Pelodiscus sinensis: one gene and its partner. The protein of the gene in region 1 purifies or fractionates together with the protein of each later gene. This does not show direct contact. Links are inferred from orthologs where the notes say so. Each region holds a gene or a part of one and is shown on either strand. Other genes may lie near its edges.

What was found.
Region 2: the proteins of NFKBIB (region 1) and POLR1E purify together in Homo sapiens (affinity purification with mass spectrometry; 3 studies listed by BioGRID and IntAct, counting the BioPlex papers as one, with this or other methods). This does not show direct contact. The link is inferred for Pelodiscus sinensis from reciprocal best matches to the Homo sapiens genes NFKBIB and POLR1E.

What each region holds. Positions count from the first base shown.
Region 1 is NW_027465946.1:248,993-260,949, reverse strand, and holds NFKBIB (NF-kappa-B inhibitor beta), read right to left. Parts: upstream 5,161-11,957; 5' UTR 5,075-5,160; coding exon 4,737-5,074; intron 3,565-4,736; coding exon 3,459-3,564; intron 2,524-3,458; coding exon 2,295-2,523; intron 1,875-2,294; coding exon 1,786-1,874; intron 1,678-1,785; coding exon 1,444-1,677; intron 745-1,443; coding exon 589-744; 3' UTR 509-588; downstream 1-508. Other genes in the region: SIRT2 (NAD-dependent protein deacetylase sirtuin-2), read left to right, coding at 5,672-5,687, 6,198-6,244, 8,102-8,150, 9,071-9,187, 10,927-10,968. UniProt on the Homo sapiens protein: Inhibits NF-kappa-B by complexing with and trapping it in the cytoplasm.
Region 2 is NC_134716.1:786,730-799,210, forward strand, and holds the start of POLR1E (DNA-directed RNA polymerase I subunit RPA49), read right to left. Parts: upstream 5,630-12,481; 5' UTR 5,526-5,629; coding exon 5,462-5,525; intron 3,801-5,461; coding exon 3,697-3,800; intron 1-3,696. UniProt on the Homo sapiens protein: Component of RNA polymerase I (Pol I), a DNA-dependent RNA polymerase which synthesizes ribosomal RNA precursors using the four ribonucleoside triphosphates as substrates.

The DNA of each region.
Region 1 (11,957 bases):
AACGCAGCTCGGTGCAGCTCCGCAGGGAGCTGAACTGCTTAGTTACATGAGCAACATCTGTGGGGCCCAGTGACACCCCTCATGTGGGCAGGGATACCGCTCCCGCTCCGAAAGCAAATGGCAAGCGGCTCCGCAGGGCAATCGGCCGACGCTCTAGCCCAGCTGCCGAAATGCCTGTTCTACTGTAAGGGAATCAAGGTAACTGGCTGCGACTGCCTACGTGGAGAGAGAAGGAAACGAACACGGCATTCAGCTACCGCTTCCAGGGAGCAGCTCTGTGCTGCCACAGAACTCGGCTCCTGGAGAGCCCGATCCAGCTGAGAACAAGCTTCTGCGGAGCTGCTTCCCACAAGGGCAGGGCAGGCTGCGAGTCTCTTCTGGAGGGGCTCCTCGGCCGCCAGCTCACGCTGCAGGCGCCGCAGGGCCGGCCCCATTAATTCTGATAGCGTCCACGGTTGATGACGATGTCGTCGTATTCTTCCTGAGAAACAGGAGAGCTTTGCTGATGACCTCCGAGATACGGCAAGGGCCTGTTTAGGGATCATTACGGAGCAGGTGGGGAGGGCCAGGATCAAACGGCTTCATCGGTTAAAGCCAGAAGAGACAACAGCGATCAACCGACCTCCTGTGTGACACAGGCCACACAACTGGCCTGCGTTCGCTCCTGTGGGAGCTACAGCAGATATTGGGGGGGGCTCCGATTTGGATTTGGACATTGCCAGCGATGGAGAATACACCACAGCCCTGGGAAAGTTAAGGACTAATTACTCTGTTCAGATTAACCCCTTAGAGCTAGACACATCTGCCTGTACGTAGCTTCAACTTCCAGCAACTGGATCACGGAAAACCTTTGAGAGCCAGCTACTGTCAAATTTCTCTCTGCCAGCTCGCCGGGCTTGATTTGCGCCAGGCCTCAGTCCCAGCTCCCTAGGCTCAGCAGTACCTCTGAGTCTCCTGCGTCAACTCCAGACGCAAATCACCGCAGAGCCCCGGCACCCCCCCCCCGCAGCATAGGTACGTACAGACCGACCCAGGCAGAGCGCACCCTGCTCTGCATTAATCTACGTAGACCAGAGACTCAGGGAACTCGACCCATTTGAAAAGAGAATCTCTTGCTGGGGAAAAGATCCCTTTGGCTTCTCTGCTGTCAAACCCAATGGCAGCTTCTCCACCCATTGTGTGTCAGAGGGGAGGGGCCTGCCAGGAGCGGAGGGGGGCTGGTGGCACAGAGGACTAGGAACCAGGCTGAGACCTGCCAATTCCTACACATGGGGGACGTTGCAATGGCTTTTCAGCACTGCCCTCTAGGCCTCCTACAGGGGGAGGGGTGGCTCTAGAGCAGAGATGAGGCCACTTGCAAGCTTGGCCTGGCTTTGCCGAGGGGGTGCCTGCACTCCTCCCTCCTGCACCGCTAGGCCAGCGCACACGCCCAACCCCACTCACGTCGCTGCTGTCATCTGAACTGTCCTCTGAATCCCAGTCCGGCTCCTCCGAGCCAAACTCCCGGAGCAGCTGCAAGATCTTTTGGTTGGGCCTGTGCATGGCGCTGTAGATGGGGGTGTAACCAACATACATCCGGGCCCCCGGATCTGCTCCAGCATGCAGCAGGTACTCCACCACCTCCGGGCTCTGAGACTCCACTGCCAAGTGGAGGGGACTCCGGCCACAGCTCAGCTCCTGCCAGTGGTGGACAGACCAGTCAGCAAGAAAGAGACTTCTGAGAAGGGTAAATACCTTCTGATCCCTGGCCACCCCTCTCCATAGACGATCCGCCCTTGCACTAACCGCCTTGTTGAGACTGGCTCCGGCGCTCACCAGGAGCTTGACTGCTTCAAGATCCTTCCGCAGGACAGCCACATGCAGCGGCGTGTAACCTATGGGAACCGAGAGCAGACAATCCTGATCAACCCAAGAAGTAACTCTCTGACCAGGCCCCTCTCAGCTGGCTGTTGTCAAGGCAGTGTCAGAGGATTGGTATAGAATACACCGCACACTACGTATCTCTCCAGCATGCTGCCTTTTGGTTTTTTCACCCCCAAAGTAGTAGGCCACGCCCTAAGTTAAGCCACTTCCACATGCAAAGAAATGGGCATTGAAACTACTTCGGCAGTGGCCAAGTTCTGGGGTTCTCTGGGGCTGTTCTATTCATATTCAGCCCTTCACAGCCTTGAGGGAAATGGAGGGTAACTGGGCCACAGAGAGCTCTGGCCATGCTGGCTGGGGAAGGACACAGCATGCTCAGGACAAAGGTCCCACGTGTAACACTCCCAGGTGGGTGACGAGAGGCTCCATACCATCATAATTGGTGCAGTCCAACTGAGCCCTGGCGTCACTCCCTTCACAGGATCTGCGCATGCTCAACGATGCCAAGAGCCACTGTGCACAGTCCCGCCAGCCCTCCCGGCATGCCAGGTGCAGCGCCGTGTGGCCGCCTTTCTCCTGCACGCAGAGCCCTGCCCCGGCTGCCATCAGCTTGCGGACAAAGTTGGAGGCACCGAGGATGACTGCAATGTGCAATGCCGTCTGGGGAAGGTCAGCGAGATAGACAGGTCAGAAAGCTCTGTGGCTGATCTTCCCTAAAAAGTGCCCGGCCTACTAACACCACTACAGATCGCTTCTTTCCATGGGCTGTCACCCTAATAGCGTCACACCCCATATTCCAGACGCAGCGCTGAAAAGCAGCCACCTCTGGGCAGGCAGGCAGTGGCCAATTGCACAAGCAGGTCAGAAATTTTAGTCAAGGACACGACTATTCACACAAAAGCTGTCTCTACTACCCAGGCACAGGAGCCGACACGGTCTTGTCCTTCCTCTGCACCGTGAGCTACATGGAAGGCAGCTGATTTGCCTGGCATGAGCGCGACCACCTTACACCCTTTAAACAAAGCCCTCCCTGGCCCCGTTTACTTTGGTCCACTGCCACTGTCAATTCCCCAGCCTTCCTTACATTCCCCGGCCATATATTGGAGCAGACCAAAGCTCCAGTTAGTCCAACACCCTGTCTTCCGACAGTGGCCAGCGCCAGAGAGAAGGAACAGGTAGCCATCAGGGGATCCAGGGGAAGATGTGTTTGGATATTAGTGTCTCATTTATCAGTTGCTTGCAGGAGCATCTCCAGCATGCTAGATGCTATACAGACACAAAGCGAGGGATAGCTCCCTGCTCCAGAAAGACTGCTGTGCTCCGTAACACTCTTCCCTGCTCCCCCAACTCATTTATGATGCAGAGGAATTAATATGTGGTTGTGTTTCATCTTCCTGCCAGCAACCCAATCACTCCCTACAGGAGGTGGCATGGGCGATATCGTGTAGGAAGCTGACTAGGAGCCACTACTCCCGAGTTTTGTCCCCAACTGGCTGTACAATGTTCAGGCAAACCAATGTGGCTCTTTGTGCCTCAGTTTCCCCACTGCAATTGCCAGAGACTACAGACAGAAAAAGCTCCAGTCTTGGCCCAACCTGGCTCAGGTCATTCTGCAGATCCAAGTACTCCGTCCCGGCCGTGTACTGCAGGATAGAATCCAGAAAGGCTTCGTGTTCATGAATCACAGCCAAGTGGAGGGCTCTGGGGATGGAAGAACAGACACCACTCCAAGCAAAATAAATAAGTACCCTGCAACTGGCTGGAAATGCCACCCATGAAAGGGAAGCAATAGCAAGAAGAGGAATCGATCTAGTCAGCAAAGAGCAAGTAGCAAGGAGCTGGGGGTGCAGCAGGGAAACCAGGTGGGTGTAAAACTCCTGGGAGTGTGGGCAATAGAATAGCTGCCAACAGTGACTGAATTCCTACAGTTAATGCCTAAAGCATCCCAGAAACTGGACACCAGGGACTGCAGGCCGCGGCCGATGGAGACAGCACTGAGATATCAAGGCAGCCGGGCGGGGGGGGAAGGGGGGGGTGTTAGGACAGGGGCACAAGCCAAGCGCCCGGAGTCCAGGATGGGGGGGGGGGGGGGTTGGACGGGGCACAAGCCAAGTGCCTGGAATCCAGGATGGGGGGGGGGGGGTTGGACGGGGCACAGGCCTGGGGGGGGTTAGGACGGGGGCACAGGCCCGGGGGGGGGGAGAGGTGGGGCTCGGACGGGGGCCCAGGCCCGGGGGGGCGGGGGGCTCGGACGGGGGCCCGGGGGGCTCGGGGGGCTCGGACGGGGGCCCAGGCCCGGGGGGGCGGGGGGCTCGGGGGGCTCGATGGGGGCCCAGGCCCGGGAGGGCGGGGGGCTCGGACGGGGGCCCAGGCCCGGGGGAGCGGGGGGCTCGGACGGGGGCCCAGGCCCGGGGGAGCGGGGGGCTCGGACGGGGGCCCAGGCCCGGGGGGGGGGAGAGGTGGGGCTCGGACGGGGGCCCAGGCCCGGGGGGGGCGGGGGGCTCGGACGGGGGCCCGGGGGGCTCGGGGGGCTCGGACGGGGGCCCAGGCCCGGGGGGGCGGGGGGCTCGGGGGGCTCGATGGGGGCCCAGGCCCGGGAGGGCGGGGGGCTCGGACGGGGGCCCAGGCCCGGGGGAGCGGGGGGCTCGGACGGGGGCCCAGGCCCGGGGGAGCGGGGGGCTCGGACGGGGGCCCAGGCCCGGGGGGGCGGGGGGCTCGGACGGGGGCCCAGGCCCGGGGGGGGGGCACAGGCCCGGGGGGGGGCTAGGAGGGGGGGCCCAGGCCCGGGGGGGCGGGGCTAGGAGGGGGCCCAGGCCCGGGGGGGCGGGGCTCGGAGGGGGCACAGGCCCGGGGGGGGCTGGTCCCCCACTTACGTGTCCCCGTCCTCGGTGACGAAGCGCAGCACGTGGCGCAGCCAGGCCTCGGGGGGGCCCTGGCCGGGCGGGGGGTCCGCGACGCGCACGGAGCCCAGGCCCCGCGTCACCGCCCCCAGCGCCCCGCCCCCCTCCTCCTCCGCCGCCCCCAGCGCCGAGTCCGGCCGCTCCGGGCCGCCCGCGGGGTCGGGGGTCGGGGGGCAGGGGTCAGAGGTCACGGCCAGGCCCTCCTGGATTAGGCTGAGCTGCCCCTCCCCCAGCGAGCCCAGGCCGCTGTCGCACCAGTCCCCGTCCTCGCCCGCCTCGGCCCGCGTGGCCCCGCCCGCCGGCTCCGCCATGGCCCCCCCAGCGCCCGCCGCGGGGCACGCCGGGAAGCGGGGCGGGGCGCGGGGCAGGCCGGGAGGCGCGGGGCACGCTGGGAGGAGGGGCGGGGCGGGGCAGGGGCGCGGGGCAGGCCGGGAGGCGCGGGGCACGCTGGGAGGAGGGGCGGGGCAGCGGCGCGGGGCACGCTGGGAGGGGGGAGGCGCGGGGCACGCCGGGAGGAGTGGAGGCGCGGGGCAGGCTGGGAGCGGAGGCAGGGGCGCGGGGCAGGCCGGGAGGGGGGGCGGGGCGGGGGCAGGGGCGCGGGGCACGCCGGGAGGAGGGGCGGGGCGGGGCAGGGGCGCGGGGCACGCCGGGAGGAGCGGAGGCGCGGGGCAGGCTGGGAGCGGAGGCAGGGGCGCGGGGCAGGCCGGGAGGGGGGGCGGGGCGGGGGCAGGGGCGCGGGGCACGCCGGGAGGAGGGGCGGGGCGGGGGCGGGGGCGCGGGGCACGCCGGGAGGAGGGGCGGGGCGGGGGCGCGGGGCACGCCGGGAGATGTAGTTCTGCCGAGCGGGCGGCCCGTTTCCCTGCCGCAGTCGGGTCCGGCGGAGCCGAGCGGGGCGGGCGCCGGGGTCCATGGCCGAGCGGGACGGTGACTAGCGGGATAGCCCCGCCCCCGGGACAGCCCCCCATCCCCCAACGCCCCCCCCGCGGGCTCAGCCCCCCCATCCCCCAACGCCCCCCCCCCCGCGGGCTCAGCCCCCCATCCCCCAACGCCCCCCCCGCGGGCTCAGCCCCCCCCATCCCCGAACGCCCCCCATCCCCCAACGCCCCCCCCGCGGGCTCAGCCCCCCCCATCCCCCAACGCCCCCCATCCCCCAACGCCCCCCCCGTGGGCTCAGCCCCCCATCCCCCAACGCCCCCCCCCGCGGGCTCAGCCCCCCCCATTCCCCAACGCCCCCCCCCCGCGGGCTCAGCCCCCCCATCCCCCAACGCCCCCCCCCCGCGGGCTCAGCCCCCCCATCCCCCAACGCCCCCCATCCCCCAACGCCCCCCCCGTGGGCTCAGCCCCCCCCATCCCCCAATGCCCCCCCCCATAGCAGCGCGCCTCCCTCCCCCTTTTCGCCAGCAACTCGGGTCTCTTCTCTCCCTGCTGTCCCAGCTGCGGGGCCCGGCGGGCGCGAGGCGGAGCGGGGCGCGGACTCTCCCGTGAGTAGGGGGCGCAGCTCGGGTTCCCTTTGCAGTGCGGGGGCTCTCTGCTAACCCCTTCCCTTCTTCTCGAGCGGCCACCCACCACAGCCTGCCTGCAAAAGAACCAGGAGTCCTGGCCCCCAGCCCGCTGCTCTAACCTGCTCCACCCCATTCGCCTCCAGGGCCAGGGACAGACCCCGAGAGCCCCCACCCCACTTCCCTCCCAGTGCTGGGGCTAAAACCCAGGAGGCCTGGCTCCTCTACCATCTCCCTGCTGTATCTGGAGACCAGGCCCCTTTCCTGCAGCACAACCCAGGAGTCCTGGTTTGCCTTTGTCCCAGTCCTCAGAGGATCCTGCCACAGACACAGATGCTTCTAACACTAGCCAGTAAAACACAGAAGACGGCTTAACGGGCTGCGTTACCGGTGAACTTAACCTGCTACATTGACGCTGGCTAACTTAACCCGCTGCATTAACGTTGGCTCACGTAACCGGTGAACTTAACCAGCTACATTAACGCTGGCTTATTTAACCGACTGCGTTATCTCTGGCTTACTTAACCTATGAACTTAACCAGCTACATTAACACTGGCTTATTTAACCGACTGCGTTAACGCTGGCTTACTTAACCTGTGAACTTAACTTGCTACATTAACGCTGGCTTATTTAACCGACTGCATAAACGCTGGCTTACGTAACCGGTGAACTTAACCGGCTGCGTTAATGCTGACTTACGTAACCTGTGAACTTAACCGGCTGCGTTAACGCTGGCTTACTTAACCGGCTGCGTTAACGCTGGCTTACTTAACCGGCTGCGTTAACGCTGGCTTACTTAACCTGCTGCGTTAACGCTGGCTTACTTAACCGGCTGCATTAACGCTGGCTTACTTAACCTATGAACTTAACCGGCTGCGTTAACGCTGGCTTACTTAACCTATGAACTTAACCGGCTGCGTTAATGCTGGCTTACTTAACCGGCTACATTAACGTTGGCTTACGTAACCGGTGAACTTAACCAGCTACATTAACGCTGGCTTATTTAACCGACTGCGTTATCTCTGGCTTACTTAACCTATGAACTTAACCAGCTACATTAACACTGGCTTATTTAACCGACTGCGTTAACGCTGGCTTACTTAACCTGTGAACTTAACTTGCTACATTAACGCTGGCTTACTTAACCTATGAACTTAACCGGCTGCGTTAACGCTGGCTTACTTAACTGGCTGCATTAACGCTGGCTTACTTAACCTATGAACTTAACCGGCTGCGTTAACGCTGGCTTACGTAACCGGTGAACTTAACCGGCTGCGTTAATGCTGACTTACGTAACCTGTGAACTTAACCGGCTGCGTTAACGCTGGCTTACTTAACCTATGAACTTAACTGGCTGCGTTAACGCTGGCTTACTTAACTGGCTGCATTAACGCTGGCTTACTTACCCTATGAACTTAACCGGCTGCATTAACGCTGGCTTACTTACCCTATGAACTTAACCGGCTGCGTTAACGCTGGCTTACTTAACCTATGAACTTAACCAGCTGCGTTAATGCTGGCTTACTTAACCTATGAACTTAACCGGCTGCGTTAACACTGGCTTACTTAACCTATGAACTTAACCGGCTGCGTTAACACTGGCTTACTTAACTGGCTACATTAACGCTGGCTTACTTAACCTATGAACTTAACCAGCTGCGTTAATGCTGGCTTACTTAACCTGTGAACTTAACCAGCTGCGTTAACGCTGGCTTACTTAACCTATGAACTTAACCGGCTGCGTTAACACTGGCTTACTTAACTGGCTGCATTAACGCTGGCTTACTTAACCTATGAACTTAACTGTCTGATCTTTGTGTGTTTTTTCTGTTATTCAGGACTCTGATTCTGACTCGGAAAACGGTGGTGCTTCTGGAGAGTCTGAAAGTAGGTAACTTGTGCTGTATTGTAGGGGAAGGGATGGGGAGCATGGGGCGGCCGAGTAGCATGATACACAGGGGAGAGCCTGGGAGAGCCTGCTGGGTCTGTCAATCTATCCCTGTTCCTTCCTCTCAGGGGGGCCTAATGCCTCAGGTGATTAACGTGAATAGGGGTAAATCATCTGTCGTTAAACCAGCTCTTTCTGTCCGGGCTTCGAGGCAAAAATTGGTCTGTGGCTGGAATTGGGATTGAATAATCTTTCTCAATTATCTTCAGGCCCCTGTCGCTGTAGTTTCTGAAAGCCTCTGTTTCTGACATATTTGTTCCCATAACTCCCTGGGAGGCAGGGCAGTGCCACAGAAGGGGAAACTGAGGCCAGTCCGGTGACACCACCTTTGCAAAAGACGTTATTTAAACAGACAGGCACGCTTTTCTGCTGTCTGCACTGCGGGTTCTGCTAAGCACGGCTGTGTCAACTAGCGGGTGTGAACACCCCCAGCCAACTGAAGCGTGTAACATACGCCAGGCCCCAGCGACTCCTCGCACGAGTAGTCAGTTGCAGAGCTGTGCCTTGAACCTAAACAATGGGCCCTTCCGTCCGTGCCGGGTTCTCCTGTCGTTCCCAGTGCACTCACACACCCTCTTTTCCCTTTTAAGTCTTCAAGGCACTTTCTAAATATTAACTAACCTTCAAAACGACCTCCTTCTGTGACATTGGGAAATGGAGTCCTGAGGGGGAAACTGAGGCTCGAGGACGAGAACTGCCGTGCCCAAGGCTGCTCAGCAAATCCGTGGAGCTAGGATTAGAAACCAGGCCTCCTGGCTCTCAGTCCCCTTGCTCTAACTATTAGACCCTACTCCCTTCCCAGAGCTGGGACCAGAGCCCAGGAATACACAGCTAACTTTGCTTGTCCTCTCCCTTTCAGTGGATTTCCTGCGAAATCTCCTGTCCCGGACGCTGGGCCTGGGCAGTGAGAAACCGGAGAAGGTGCTGGATGAGCTGACACTAGATGGTGTGAGCCGCTTCATGCTGAGTGAGAAGTGTAAGCTGGGTCCCCTCTTGGGAGGCAGCTGCTCTGAGACTGAACCAGAGCGACTCTCATCCTGATTTCCCCCCTCACAGTGGGAAGGGAAAGGGGTTGAGGGAGAGGCTGTGGGCTAGCGGGGCTGTCTAGGGGCAGGCCTGGAGCAGACCAAGGGATGTGGCAGGGACTCCATGTTGGTGTAACTTACAAGCAGGGGCACAGGTGTCACTTACACATTCGTACACCCCACCCCTTCTGAGCTGCTGGGAGGGATCCAGTCTCCATGGGCTCCCTCTTGGTGCTGGGGGCAGGTTTGACAGGGGCTTGGGGGTGGCTTTAAACCTCCCTTGTGCTACTTGTATTATGGGCCCTGGTATAAGTTAGAGCGGGGCTACTCAATACGTGGCCTACGGGCGGCGGGCGGCCCATAGCCCATTTGTTTGCAGCCCGCCCCCGAGTGGGATCCTTTGAACATGGCCTCCACTGGGAACACGCTCCACAACGGCGAGTCCATAGAACGCTCGTCTGCTGAGCTGCGTTTTAGTAGTTCAATTCCTGGACTGTCGTTGCTTAGTACAAGTGCTGTCATATGGGTGGAGATCGGGTAAACGTTGCCTTTTATTAATAGCAGCAGAGCTGACTTAGATGGGGGGGGGGTGTTGTGTAGTCTTGCCTTAAGCTTTGTATTCATGCCCCTCAGTGCGAAAGAAGCTATTTGCATGTATATTTGCACGTCTATGCAGCCACTCTTAAGCTGCAGCCCTCCGCATGTGCTGAGTATCATTTTGGCTCCTGGGGCTTCCAAAGTTGAGTGGCCCAGAGTCCGAGCAACCTCAAGGCTGTTCTGGGGAGTATCTGCTTCCCAAGGTGCTTGTGAAGCAGAGAATTGCCATACGTCTGGTCCCCGAGTTACGACCAAAGCTGTCGTAAATGGCGGACCCCGCGCTTACAAACGGGACCCAAGTTACGACCAAAGCTGTTGTAAATGGTGGACCCCGCGCTTACGAACGGGACCCCGCGCTTACGAACGGGACCCAAGTTACGACCAAAGCTGTTGTAAATGGTGGACCCCGCGCTTACGAACGGGACCCCGCGCTTACGAACAGGACCCAAGTTACGACCAAAGCTGTTGTAAATGGTGGACCCCGCGCTTACGAACGGGACCCCGCGCTTACGAACAGGACCCAAGTTACGACCAAAGCTGTTGTAAATGGTGGACCCCGCGCTTACGAACGGGACCCCGCGCTTACGAACGGGACCCCGCGCTTATGAACGGGACCCAAGTTACGACCAAAGCTGTTGTAAATGGCGGACCCCGCGCTTACGAACAGGACCCCGCACTTACGAACGGGATCCATGTTAGGAACAGCGTGGTCGTGTGTAACTCTGTGGGGTCCGAATTACAAACAAACCAAGTTACGACTGATTGTTTGGTCCATCACCGGTTCGTAAGTTGGGGAGAGGCTGTACTGCAGCGCCTGCTGCGGGCTGGGAGTGGGGCCTCGATGCCAGCTTGAGAGGCCCCCTGCTCCGCTCAGGGATATGCTGAGTCCAGAGGGGCCTGCGTGACACTGCAGGTCAGGTTCTAGCCCAGCAGGGGTCAGGAGTGCAGGGACACGTGGCTTTGCTCTTAGAGGGATAAGCTCTGGGCCGTGGGCTGCGGTGATGTCTGCCAAGAACCTGCACCGAGAGCGTGGGGCTGGTTCCCACGTGGCTTTCAGCACTCTGATCCGATGCCTCCCTCTCTGATCTTGCAGGCAGGAACATCGTCTGCATGGTGGGCGCTGGGATTTCAACCTGTGAGTACAGCTGCAGGCGTGGCGGAGCTAGGCCGTCCACGCTACAGAGAGACCAGCCTAGAGCAGTTCCCGGAGGGGCTCTGATAGTGTGTCTATCGCCCCTTCCATCCCAGAGCTGTTTGCGAGCCACGGCTGACCTGCAGCCACCTCTGGGGTGGAAGGTGGCAGCTGTTTGTACAGGCACCACTCACTCCTACACTCGTGAGTCTGGCAGATGCTTGTGTGTGCTGGGGCGGGGGAGAGTCCTTCGTCCAGTCCTGAGACACAGCCGGCTTCAGTATATGCAGGGATCGAGGCTATACTGAGGGGCCTCTGCGTCTGGGGTGGGGCGTGACGGCAGGGAAGAGGAGTCCTGTATTGCATTGGCTGCAGGAGGATGGTAGGGAGCCAGGGAGGAATAATGGTGGCTGTAATTTGACCAGAACACTTGGCCCTGGTGGGCGGAAGGGAGAGGACGGTGCCATGGGACCACGAACCCTAATTTCAGTGCCGCTGGTATCCCAGTGCCGAGCAGTCACTGGGGTTCTACTGCAGGCCCGGGGGTGCGCCTGTTCCTGGTGCGAAGACCCCGCACCCAGGCACATGGGGAAGAGCTTTCTGAAGTGTCTGCGGCCGGTGGGCACCCACCCAGTGCTGATCAGGCGCCTAGCAGACCTGTCCGAACCTGAAGAAGTGGGTGGTGCCCCCGAAAGCTCCTGCTGCCATCAGCATGTTTCCCTAGCCTGAAAGGTGCTGCAGGACTAGTCCTTGTTTCAGCTTTTCCGGGTACAGCCACCCCTCTGAAGCTGTCCTAACCTGGACTGGGCTCACTGTAAATCCTGGGACGGATTCTGTGGGGAGCTGGGGGACTTTGGGCTGATCCAAAGTCCTGGTCAGGAATCTGGAAGGGGATGTCCTTAGCGCATAATAGCTCTGTCTCCTGCTGATTGCAACATCCTTGTGGCACCCCAGAATGGGAGTGACCCTAGAAAACTGCTCCCCTGCTAGGC
Region 2 (12,481 bases), on another chromosome or scaffold:
GAACAGAACAGGGAATCCTCACATGAAACTCCCCTGTGGCCCCTTCCCAGCTTCTGACAGAGGCTACGGACACCATCCTCCCAAGCCTGGCTCACAGCCGTTGATGTCCTGCTAAAGTCCTGGCCTTCACGACATCCTCTGGCGAGGAGTTCCGAACGTTTGTTTTAAACCTGCTGCCTATTCATTTCATTCGGCTCTTGTGTTATGAGGAGGAGTAAATAACTTTTCCTTGTTTGCTTTCTCCACACCAGTCATGATTTTATAGACCTCTGTCCTATCCCCCATCTTCTTTTTGCCAAGCTGAGAAATCCCAGTCTTATCCATCTCTCCTCAAGTGGCCGCTGTTCCACGCCCCTCATCATTTTTGTTGCTCCCCTTCTGAACATTTTCCAGTGCCACTATATCTTTTTTGAGATGAGGTGACCACATCTGTACGCAGTATTCCAGATGCGGGCGTGCCCTGGATTTCCACAGAGGCAGTAAGATACTCTCTGTCTTATTCTCTATCCCATCCTTATGACTGAAAGCCCAGCCTGGTGAATAATGCTACCTCCCCATTCACCATCCTCAAAGGAAAGGTAAGAAATGTTTGTGGAAGTCATTGCTTTCACCGTTCCAAAAGTATTTCTGGTTAACTTCTGAGCACGTTCACGGTCGTGAACTTTGGAGTGAAAAACACACCTACCACATCTTGTCCACAATAATCAAACCTGAAAGTGACGGTTTGTAATAAAAATGCTGTAACTAGTTAAGGCTAAAAATGCGTAAAACTAACCATCCTTGCTATTAAATCTAAGGTGTTCTCTCAGATGCTTTAAAGTTACATACAGCTTCCATTATATAAGTTGTTCATAACTTCCTAAAAATTAAATTTTCCGCCAGGACTGAAAATTGCTGGTTTGTCTCAACTCCCAGTTTGCTCCTGGGAGTAAGTGGGAGGTAGCACAAGTAAAATTAATTCAGTGATTTTAATTTAATGCTAATGCACACAAGCATACACGATCACATGCGCGCACACCCCACTTGAAAAACTGGACTTGTTTATGTGCGCTTCCACTCAAGAATGGCTGAACTTCAAAACTTCATTGCACGATCAGTTTCTCATCTCTGATCCTGAACGCCGAGTGTGATTCAGCCACTCTGAACAGTTGATAGGGTTACAGCCTATTGAAATAAAGAACGCGTGTACGTTGCAGTACAAAATTTCTACCTCCTTTGTGGTTGCACATGTGAACGCTATTCAGTAGTGCTAATCGCACAACTCCACAATAACTCAGGGAAGATTTTTCCTTTTCTGCCTTTTAGTTTGTTTGTCTTTCCACTAAAGCCAGCACAAGCAAAACTTTCCAACAAGGGACCTCAAATCATAACAAAAACCAAACAAGGCAAACGTTAAGGTTAGAAATGTTCACATGAGAAATCAGAAAACGCAACCTGGTGTCGGCAGTCATCTCAACCTGCCCAGTCTGCAAAGACTAGGGATGTTAAATGTCAGTTAATCAGCTAATTGAGTAGTGGGTGGAATTTCCATCAATTAGTCGATAAGGGGCGGGATGCTCTCTGCCTTTCCAAGGGGCGGGGCAGGGCGGGATGCTCTCTGCCTTTCCAATGTAGGAAGAGCCGCCCGGGGCTCTTGCTACATTTCAAAGGCAGAGGCCCAGCAACTGGAGCAGCACAAGCAGGGGACGGCTTCAGAGCCCGCTCATGCCATTTCCTGCTGCACCTCTGCCTCCACTGCCACCCATCCCTGCAGAGATGGTGCTAGGGGAAACCAGCTTTTAAGCACCAGCTCCTCCTCCCACTGCCTCTGTATCAGAGGCAGCGGGGAGAGGGAGAGGGGGAGAACTAGTTGACTCAACTACCCGATAAGCCATGTTTATCAGGTATTTGACTAGTTGCTTACATCGCTAGCAAAGACTAGCTCTATTTTGTATTAGGGGTGCTGTTAACCACATGGCCTAATAGAGACAGTGTGTGCAACATGCAACAATCAGTATTACCTTCAGGATCCATGACCGTGTTTAATTTGCTAACCTTAACTAGATCATTGCAATGGTATTTTGCATTTAACCGAGGCAATTCACACTTGCGGTGTACTGCATTACTGAACCCATCAGCCCTTACAGTAAGTGGCATTCAAAATCTTGAAATACATTGTCAGTCAGCTATCTGATGTTAGGTTCTTTGGAGTGCCCTGACAAAACCAAACCTGCCTTTCATACCCCTCAACGCTCGGATACTCAGCCCTGTTCCTAAAGGTTACACTGACATCTGGTGGTATTGCAGACTCCAGACCACAAGCTTTGCAGAGAAGGGAGGTGTTCCAAGTGTCAGCATGCAGACTAGTCCTCCTGGCAGACAGCCGGCTCACTGAAAGCTCTTCTCCCTCCCTCTTGCCCCACTCTTGTAAGCAGCCGTGTAAATGGAAAAGCTGGTGCTCCCACCTTTCCTGGAGCCAATCTGATTTCTACTGCTAAGAACAGCCTCTCCGCCACGCGAGTGGAAATAAAAGTCGAGGCGTGGACAGAGTCTCAGAAAATACCAGAAAGTGGGCAGGATAAAGGTTGGGGGTTGTGTTTTGATTGTAATTCACATGGAGGGGTCATTGGCTACTTTCACCAATTTGGAATCTACTTATTTTTTATGATGGTTAAAAACTGTTTCAGTTACTATGCCCGCTTACATCGTACTTAAATCCCTCTCCTAATTTATGACGCTTAACAATCACATTTTTAATGTTTTCCTCTCCACTGCTGGCGGAGCCCACTAAACACCTGTCCAGCCAAACCCACTGACGGGGCCCAAAACCAACAGTCCAACTAAAGCCCTGTTCCTGCAATCGGTTCCATAGCAGCCTAATCTTAAACAGCCCCACTGGAGAAAATGGGGCTCCATGCCTATCTCCTTACACAAAAGAACCAGTGAATAACTGTCTATGAAAGGGGTATCAAAGGCAAAACCCGAATACAGAGATTTTCCTTCACGCCAGGATCACAGGAATTTACAAACTTGGATGAGACCCAAAATTCATCTAGTCCAATATCTGTCTGCAAATGTGGGCAGTGCCAAATACTTTAGAGGAAGTCTAAAATAGCAGATGAGAGACAAAACTGCCACCACATTCGAGCTCTCTTGATAGCTTAAAACCTGAAGCAAAAGGTTTAACAACTTCTAAAATGTGTTATTCACTGTATCTCGATACATTCTGCACCCATACAGCATCTTTAATTTCTTGTAATCTTAGGTGTTATACTTGTAAACAGTAGCAGCTTATAAAAATATACATAATTTTTTTGCGTCTAGGGTGCATCTACACAGCACTGTACACAAAATAAGATACGCAATTTGCGCTATGCAAACTGTTATCTTATTTTGATTCTATTTCAAAATGGTTTATTTTTAAATTTGGTGCATATAGACAGTGCCAAATTTTGAAATAACGTGCTATTTCGAGACATCCCTTAAACCTCGTGGAACAAGGGTACAGGGATGCCGAAATAGTACGCCTGTTATTTTGAAAAATATTTCAAAATAACAGATGACTTGTTAAGAGGCAGGGTAGCAAATAGTGCCCCTTTACATATATTTCAATACTTCTTGGCAAAAATATCCTGGTTCACCAAAACAAATAGCTAGCAATAACCAGGAACCTGATATATCACTGTAGAACTCGGGTACAATGACAGACAAACTTACCAAGATTCTTTGATGTTTCTTTCTGGGATTAGTAGCGTCATTGTTTTTGTACAAAGTAAAATCCATGTTTTCAGAATTCTGCAGTTTCCCGTTAGAGAACTGAACTGTAATACATTTGTAAGGAAAAGCATTTGAAGCAGTGCAGATAATTATATGTTCAAAACAAAAATGTTGGCAACAGTGCCGAGAGAAGCTACTTGTAACAGGCATGTAAAATGCTGTTTAAAAGGTTAACCGGTTGAAATACACATTTAACTGGTTAAAAGGATCACCACAGGCAGGGGGCTACTCAGGCCGGGTGCCACTTAACCAGCTACCAGTAAGCATAAGGGTTGTGCTTACCAGGTATCCTGTTACCCTTTTACAGCTCTAGCTCTTAATGAGAATTTCGGGGAGCCTGAATGAGCTCAGAGTTAATTTCAGAATACAAATGATTTTATTCTGGAATAATTACTCCCCATTGGAAACCAGCTAATGATTCTGGAGTAAAACGACTGTTCTTATGGCCCCAGGAAGTTATTCTGGAGTATCTACTGTGGAATAATTGACCCTGAAATGGTTATTCCAGTCAATGTCCAACCATCGACAGAGCTTATTGTACCAAGACTGTAGACCAAACAGAGGGCTGCTACCATCCTACATCTGAGACGTCAGCGAGTTGCCCCCTAAGATGGCAAGGCTTGATGCTAAAGAAGGATGTTTTGACCCATGATTTGAAAGTCTACTATTTGCCCCAGCCCAGAGAAGGGCTCGCTTAGAGCTGTGCAAACACAGTCAGAAACAGACCCTGAAAAGGAGACAATTTCTCCATCCCTGACCATTTTGAAATCCAGCTAGAATTATTTCTACCCAAAAGCTCTGCTCTAGGAGTTAGTTTGGGGAAGGTCTCTGGCCTCTACTATACAAGGGGTGAGACTATGATCAGAGTGGTCCCTTCTAGCCTCCGGATCGGTGAATGTAAATATGTTGCCAGTTCCCTGAACAGGACCTCAGCACTGGGAGACAATTCATACACTGTTCCATGCACCCCGGGGCTGCAGACTGCAAAGGGATCACTCACTCACATGCTCCTTTGCTTTCTAGCGGCACGGTCTAAACGCACAACCCACCCTGTGCTAGGTGGCAAAGGCAGGCCAGCGGCCGCCCCGCAGAACACTGACCTCCAGCTGCAGTCCTCTGTGGCGGGCTTTCATTGGGGGCTATTTTGTCATTTTTAAGCAGCTAAAATGCTGGTTTTTTTCTTGGACTCCCCGCAGGTTAAAATGTTGTCAGGCCTGCGCAACCGGAGCCCAGCGGCCCTTGCCAGGCCAGTGCAGTACCAGCCATCCCGTGCGCACAAGGCCCCCGCTACCGGCTGGGCCAGGCCACCTCCACGGGGCAGGCTTCCCCCTCGCAAGGGCGGCTCTGCAGCCTGCCCGGGGAGAGACCCCCAGGACTCGCTCTGCAAGCTCAGGGCGGGGAGGGGGCTAGCAAGGATGAAACTCGCCCGCCGAAGTGGCGCGCTGCTGGCGAGGCACAGCCGGGACGCGCTGCTGGGGACGCGCCGCCCTGCAGCGGGGGGCCCGCGGCACATCCCGGGGCCTGGGCTGCAGCAGCGGGCGAGAGCCCCGGGCAGGCAGCGCCCGGTACATCCCCCCCCCCGGTACCCGGCTCACATCCCCCCGCTAGCGGCACCCGGCGGAGCGCACGGGGCGAGGCGCAGCCCGGAGCGCACGGGGAGCCGCCCCGCGGGGAGGCTGGCTGGGGGCCGGGGCGCGGCTCTTACCGAGCGGGGCGCTCTGCGCCTCCAGGGGGTGCCCCCGGTAGCTCCAGCTGGCGGCAGCGGCCATGGCGCAGCTCCTCGTGGCCGGCTGGAGACGCAGCCGCGACCGCCGCCTAGAGCCGGGCGCTGAGCGGAGCTGGCGCCGCCCCCGCCAGCTGCGCGGGGAAACCTGGGCCGGGCCCGCGTGTGCACGCACCTCCCTGCAGAGCGGGCGGGGTCTGGCATCCACTGGGGGGGGGGGCAGGCTTGTAAATAGCGACGTAAAGGGGTGAGCTGAGCAGCCCCCCCCCCTCGGTAACTGGGGGTCACCAAATGAAATTAATAGGCAGCAGGTTTAAAACAAACCAAAGGAAGTTTTTCTTCAGGCAGAGCACAGTTAACTTGTGGAACTCCTTGCCAGAGGATGTGCTGGAAGACCAGGACTTTAACAGGTTCCAGAATAGAACTAGATAAATGTATGGTGGCTAGGGCCGTCATGACTATTAGGCGGGATGGGTAGGGACAGTGTCCCTAACCTCTGTCAGAAACAGGAATGGGTGACAGAGGAGGGATCACTTGATGATTCCCTGTTCTGTTCCCTCCCTCTGGGGGCATCTGGCATTGGCCACTGTGGGCAGACGGGGCTGGTCTGACCCAGTATGGCCATTCTTATTCTTACTGTAAGCACTGCCTGACCAGCACGCTTACCGGGTTAACTGTGCCCAGCTGTGCTGAAGAAACCTGGCTTTTAACCTTAAATGTATAGTTTAGCCAGTTAACATTTTAAATGGACTTTTACATCTCTACTTCTGAAGACCTTCCTAGGACTGCCCGCTTACCACCTCATGGCAAGAATGACAGAACAGGTACAACTTAAAAAACAACAAATAGACTAGTGACACCTTAAAAACTAACAAAACATGTAGAATAGGAACAGCAAGGAGTTCCAGGGCATACAGACTACCAAATTTACTAGCGCTGCAGCTCACTTTGTCAGATGCATGAAGCGAAAGAATCAGATGGCGGAGATATCTACATACAGGGATGGGAGTGTGACAAGTGTTAACGAGGCTAATTCAATAGGGTGAATGTAGCCCCCTTCCAACAGTGATAAGAAGGTGAGAATACCTAAAGGGGAAAATTACTTTTTGTACTGAGCTAAGCCATTCCCAGTCCCTATTCAGACCCATTCTGATGGTGTCAAGTTTGCATGTGAGTCCCAGCTCAGCAGTTTCATGTTGCAGTCTGATTTTGAAGTTTTTTTTGCTTAAGAGTGGCAGCTTTTAAGTCTGTAACTGTGTGCCCAGAGAAGGAAAAGTGCTTTCCTACTGGTTTTTGTATGTTACCATTCTTGGTGTCTCATTTGTGTCCATGTATTCTTTTGTGTAAAAATTTCAGAGGGGTAGCCATGTTGGTCTGTAATAGAAACATCTGAAGAAGTGGGTTGTGCCCACTTTGTAGACACCATCTACATTTTTTGTTAGTGCCTAAGATGCTGCAGGACCATTGCTTTTTTTTTTTCTTTTGTGTAGAGACAGTCTGGTTTGTCCAATACATATGGCAGAGCGGCTGGTGCTGATAGCAATTATTTTTTTCTTATTCTCATAGCCTGTGTTCAATCTGTCACTTTGTACCCCATGGCTGAAGGAAAATTGATAGTACAGAGAAAATAAGACACTGTATTATTTCTGTTTAAAATAAGCTGCACTATACAGGTACTTGAATTGGAGACTGCAAAATCCTTTAGGAGCTACCACTGTTCCTCCTTGGCCTATATTGCACGATGCCATTTGGGATATTACTGGCATCCATTGGAAGACCTTGGTACTGCACATTGCAAGGATAAATAGAAAGAAGAAACTCATGCGCTTACTAGAATGTGAACCTATTTTCCTCTCCACTGGCTAGTTCGTGCAAGAGGATGGAGCCTGCTGCCACCAGCCAATGGAATTATTCCTTTTTTTCAGTTCAAATAATAAAAGCCTGGGATTTTATTAATAAAAGGTCTGGGATTCAAACCCTGCTGAAGACCCAAAGAGAGGGGAGACAAAGAACTATTACAAATTGGCATGCAGCATGGCATGTCGTTTTTGAAAGGAGCGATCTAGAGTAGCCACGCATTGCAGACAGCGTGTCTGTGCCTTAGTGGTTGGCCGGGGGGGTTCTAGCCCTCTGGCTTGTTCTCCCAGGGGTGACTGGGCTCCATGCAGCCTTTGCTCCAATGCATTTGCAGGCTGTGCGCGCCCCTGTCCTGGAAAGCAGGGGGCCCCGCCCCCCGCCCCGCCCCAAGGCTCCAGGCAGCGGGTCCCTTGCGGGCGCTCTGCGGCTGCCCCAGGCCTGCCAGGCCAATGAACGCGCGGGAGGGGGCGCTGGGGCTCTTGGGAGCTGCTTGGGCGGCAGAGGGCGCTCGAGAGCCTGGGCCTGGATTGAAAACACATTCTGATTGGTTCTTGGAGGGCCTGTCCAATCAGCAAAGGGCTTGTTGATAGACGTGCTCAGCAAACGGGTGGCCGATTGGCTAAGCCGACACCTCAAAGCGGGAAGGGCAACGAACGGAGCCCTATGATTGGCTAGGAGTTTCGCATCCCGGGAAGCCCCCCCCGCCTTCTCCGCTGATTGGCCGCGGAGTGATGGCGTCATTTCCTGCTGCCGGCGAGGCCGTCGCAGTGTCCGGAGCGGCGGGGGGAGGAGAGCGCAGCGCGCTGGCGAGGGAGCGGCCGGGGCCGACGAGGACGGGCCGGCCCGCCCGGAGCCGCGGGAGGCGGGGGCGCGGCGCGGGTGAGGCGGGCCCGGGCGGCGCGCGGCGGGGAGGGCGGCGGTTTGTTCTCGGGGCGGGGGGGCCGTGCGCATGCGCCGGGGCCTGGGAGGCGGCGAGAGGCGAGTCTCGAGCGCTAGACAGGCGGGGCGGGGCCTCGGCCGGCGGGTGAGTGACAGCTGGGGGGGGCTCGCGCTGGCACCTGCCCCCCCTCCGCGGGGACCGCCCTGCCCGCAGCCCCCCCATCGCATGCGGACTCTTGGTGACCTGGCGCCCGGAGACCGCACCGCGGCGGGGGAGGGGCGCTGCAGCGAGACCCCCCTTGGCTGGGGACCCCGAGCAATGAGTGCGGGGGGGTGACAATCACCCCGGCTAGGACCTGCCCTGTGCCTGGCAGCCGCCCCCCCTCTGCGTGGTGCCGCCCCCGCGCAGAATGACTCTTGCTGGAGGGGCGCAGCACGCCCCCCCCCCCATTAGTGTGCGTACAGCAGCCGTGTGCGGGGGCCGAGAGTGGCAGGGCTCGGGGCTGGGGCAGAAGGTGGGATGCAGAAGTCTGAGGAGGAGTCTGGGGCCAGGGGAGAGGTGCCAGGTTCAGGCTGTCCCTGGGCTACTGCAACCACCAACCCTGTCTTAGCTCTCCCTCCCTCCCTCCCTCCTCCGCCTTTCCCTCACAACCTCCTAGGAAACTCCCACAAACCTAATACAGTAATAAGGCTGCCAGTTTCATTGTGTAGATATTGCTCCTCCTCATCTGGTGGAGCATTATGTTGATAGTGTTTTTGGCAGGGTAAAGGTGACACAATACAGGAGGTGGGGTTCCCTTACTTTATTTCCATGCTCTTAAGGTGTTCAGATGGGTGGAGTATGTCGAAAGGCAGCCTTAGCTGTCACTAAACTAAGATTTTTGTTTAACCAGGATATAGCTTTAGGACTAGTGACCTATTTAGCTCTTTGCTTAAAGAGTTAATTCACTGAACACCAGCTTCCTGGAAAACTTTTCTCCCTGGCTTATTTTAATAAAATAAAACAAAGATTGAGGGATGAAAGAGAGAAAACAGCATTCTTGATTTTTACAGAACTATAGGTCCTGTTTGTAATCTTTGTTTGGATCAGTACTTTTAGTAGTGATCAGGTATGTCCAAAAGGATAACTGGTATAATAATGTTGATTTTTTTTTTTTAATTCTCACATTGCTACTTTTATTGCTATGCCCAGAGCCAAATTGTGATTAAAACCTATTTGTTAGCTCTCGGCTTTTGCAAACAGCCATTCTTTTAAGTTGACTTCTGTCATTCTTAAAAAACCAGATATTACACTTGATCTTAGCCTGCAAGAGGCATTAAAATAAAAACATTACTTTTTTCATGTATGTATTTTAAGTTGATCCTGAAACAAGTATTCATCCATTGGGAATCTTTCAGATTAGCTTTGTGGTTTTTTGAAACTTCAGGCTTGCCTGGTGAGGTCAAATTCCTTTTACCCGTCTTTGGTTTAGAAGTGACGTCTGTAAAGCTCAATACCTGATATTTATTGCCTATATCAAAATAAATTGTTTCCTCATTTATAATGGAATGCATGTATCCGGAATTTTGTACACACACAATGAGTGTGCATAGCGCATGACTCTGTATGCATTTGAGACTATTCAAGTGTGTGATTTGAGTAAACTAAATTAGAAACTTGTCTCAAATTGTATTCCTTTTCCAAGATGCATGTTTCCGTGATTTGCCAGTCCTCTTAGCTCAGGGGTGGGCAATAATTTTTGACTGGGGGCCACTTCAGAAATGTTTGAAGTGGCGGGGCCGGGAGACTCCTGTGCTTCCTCACCTACAAATCCTGATTGATCTGGGGATGGAGGAGCACGCAAAGTCTTTGACCCCTCAGAGAGAACTCCTAGCTGTTCTGAACAGATGGCCAGTCCCTCTAGGCACCCATGCCCCTGGCAGTGGGAGGAGATTTCATGTGGTGCCCCCAGGTCAATCAGGGCCTGTGGAGGGGGAGCATATGAAGTCTCTCGTGCCCTGCCCTGCAAGGGAGCTCTGCACTTAAGAGTCAGCAACCAGCTGAGCAGCAGCTGGTGGTTAACTTTAAGTGTGGAGCCCCTTGCAGGGCAGAAGGAGACTTCCCCGGACTTTCCCCCTGACCACAGGCCCTAATTGGCCTGGGAGTGAGGGATGTGGCAGGGCCTCCGCAGGCCAGATTAACTTGTTTGGCAGGCTGTATCCCGCCCACAGAGGCCCTTTTGCCCACCCCTGTCTTAGCTGGTACTATAGGCTCTGGTAACCTGCAATAATATTACTATTGATTTGATTGTTTAAGAAACCTCCCCTGTTATCATCTTAATCAGAAAGGTACAAATAGTGGAAAAATTACATTTTTTTTTTAGGCAAGGGTCAGACTATGGCATGCTGAATAATTGTTTAACTTTACAATTGTATTAATGGAATTTAAATCCCAAATCTTAACTCTACTTGTCTTGTTGAGCAACGTTCCAGTTGCTCAAACGTGCAACGCTGTTTGTGTCCTGAGCTAGAAGGACCAGAAAGGTCAGTGGAAAAAGTATTTGCAGAGAAAATAGAGCCTTGCTATTAAGGTTAGTTAAGTGTTTTTCTCCTGAATCTTACTACCATTCTCCCCTTGTTTGCATATGAGTTGGGAGAATTCCAGGGTTAATACTGTAGTGAAAAGCTCACTGACCAACACCACTGCTGAGATGGCTGAGGATACTGGGATTTCTGTCCCTAGGTTCTGTTTCATAGAGTTCAGTGCCAGAAGGGACCATTGTGATCATCTAGTCTGTGGCCTGTGCTATATGGGGGTGAGAAATTCCTCAAAATAATTCATAGAGCATGTGCTTTAGAAAATAAGTTTGAGGCTCTCTGGATAGTTGATTGTAGAGATGTCTTGGTCTCCAGGTTCTGTAAGCTTGGAACCTTCTTTTCCATCAAGTGTTTGGTGCTCTACTTTTTCCTTCCATCTCCTTTTTGGTGAGGTCAACTCATCTCCTCCTTAAGACAATTCCAGTATCTGCCTCCTCTGCTTGGGAGAACTGCAGCAGTAGCAAAAAGATTTAGATGATTTCACTTCTACCTACAAAGTTCTGAATAGCAACTGCGAAGCTCACGAGTCTTTGAGCTGCTGCTGCTTGGGAAAGCAATATACATCTATCTGCTTTCAAGATTAAACTAGATGGGTTTATGAAGGGGATGGTTTGATGAGATAACATGATCTTGGTATCTAATTGACCATTCATTATCAGTGGGAAATAGGTCAATGGAGGGATGATAGGAGTTACTATAGAGAACTTTCTGGGTGTCTGGTTGGTGAGTCTTGCCCACATGCTCAGGGTTTAGCTGATCGCCATATTTGGGGTCGGAAAGGAATTTTCCTCCAGGGTAGATTGGCAGAGGCCCTGGAGGTTTTTCGCCTTCCTCTGTAGCATGGGGCACAGATCACAGCTGGAGGATTTTCTGCATCTGGGGCCTTCAAAGTATTTGAAGGCTTCAATATCTGAGATATAGGGGAGAGGATTATTCTAGGGGGGGTGGGTGAGATTCCGTGGCCTGTACTGTGCAGGGGGTCAGACTAGATGATCATAATGGTTCCTCATAGACTTTAAGGTCAGAAGGGACATCAGCCTTGAACAGTAGAGCAGTCTATAGATGAACAAAGACAGCGGTACGTTTGTTTGGAGGGCTAGATGTTGAAATGAAAGCTTACATTCTGAAGAAAGTAGTGGCTTAGAATCCATGTTTGAGACTTCCTGATGCTAGAAGGCTTCTTTAATCTGTTAGTGCCCAGAGGTCCCAAATGAGATCCAAGCTCTTGGTGTATGTATGTACATAGCAGGCAAGACATGAATTGAATAGTTTGCAGTCTAAATAAGCATGGATGGAAATGGTGGCAAAAGGAAATATTATGCCCATTTTACTGATGGAAAACTTGGGCATGAAGTTAAGTGGGTTGACAAGGTCACACAAGAAATCTGTGGCAGAGTGGAGTGTTGACCCTCCCCACACATCTAAGTCATGATTGGTTCCTTAACCACACAGCCATGCTTACTCTTCCTCTATTTTTGCCTTTGGCATTGTACATGAAATTCCTTGTTCAGTTTAATTATAGATACTTGTAAGAAGGTTAAGGGTGCAAAGACGAGCATACAAAAGCTAGGAAATGCCAGGATAGGGTTGTCTGTGTAATCTTTCTTTGGTCCCCTTATGTATATGCATTGATAATCTTTGATTATATATGTACTTCCCCTTTCCCACACAGCGTCCCTACCCTTTTCA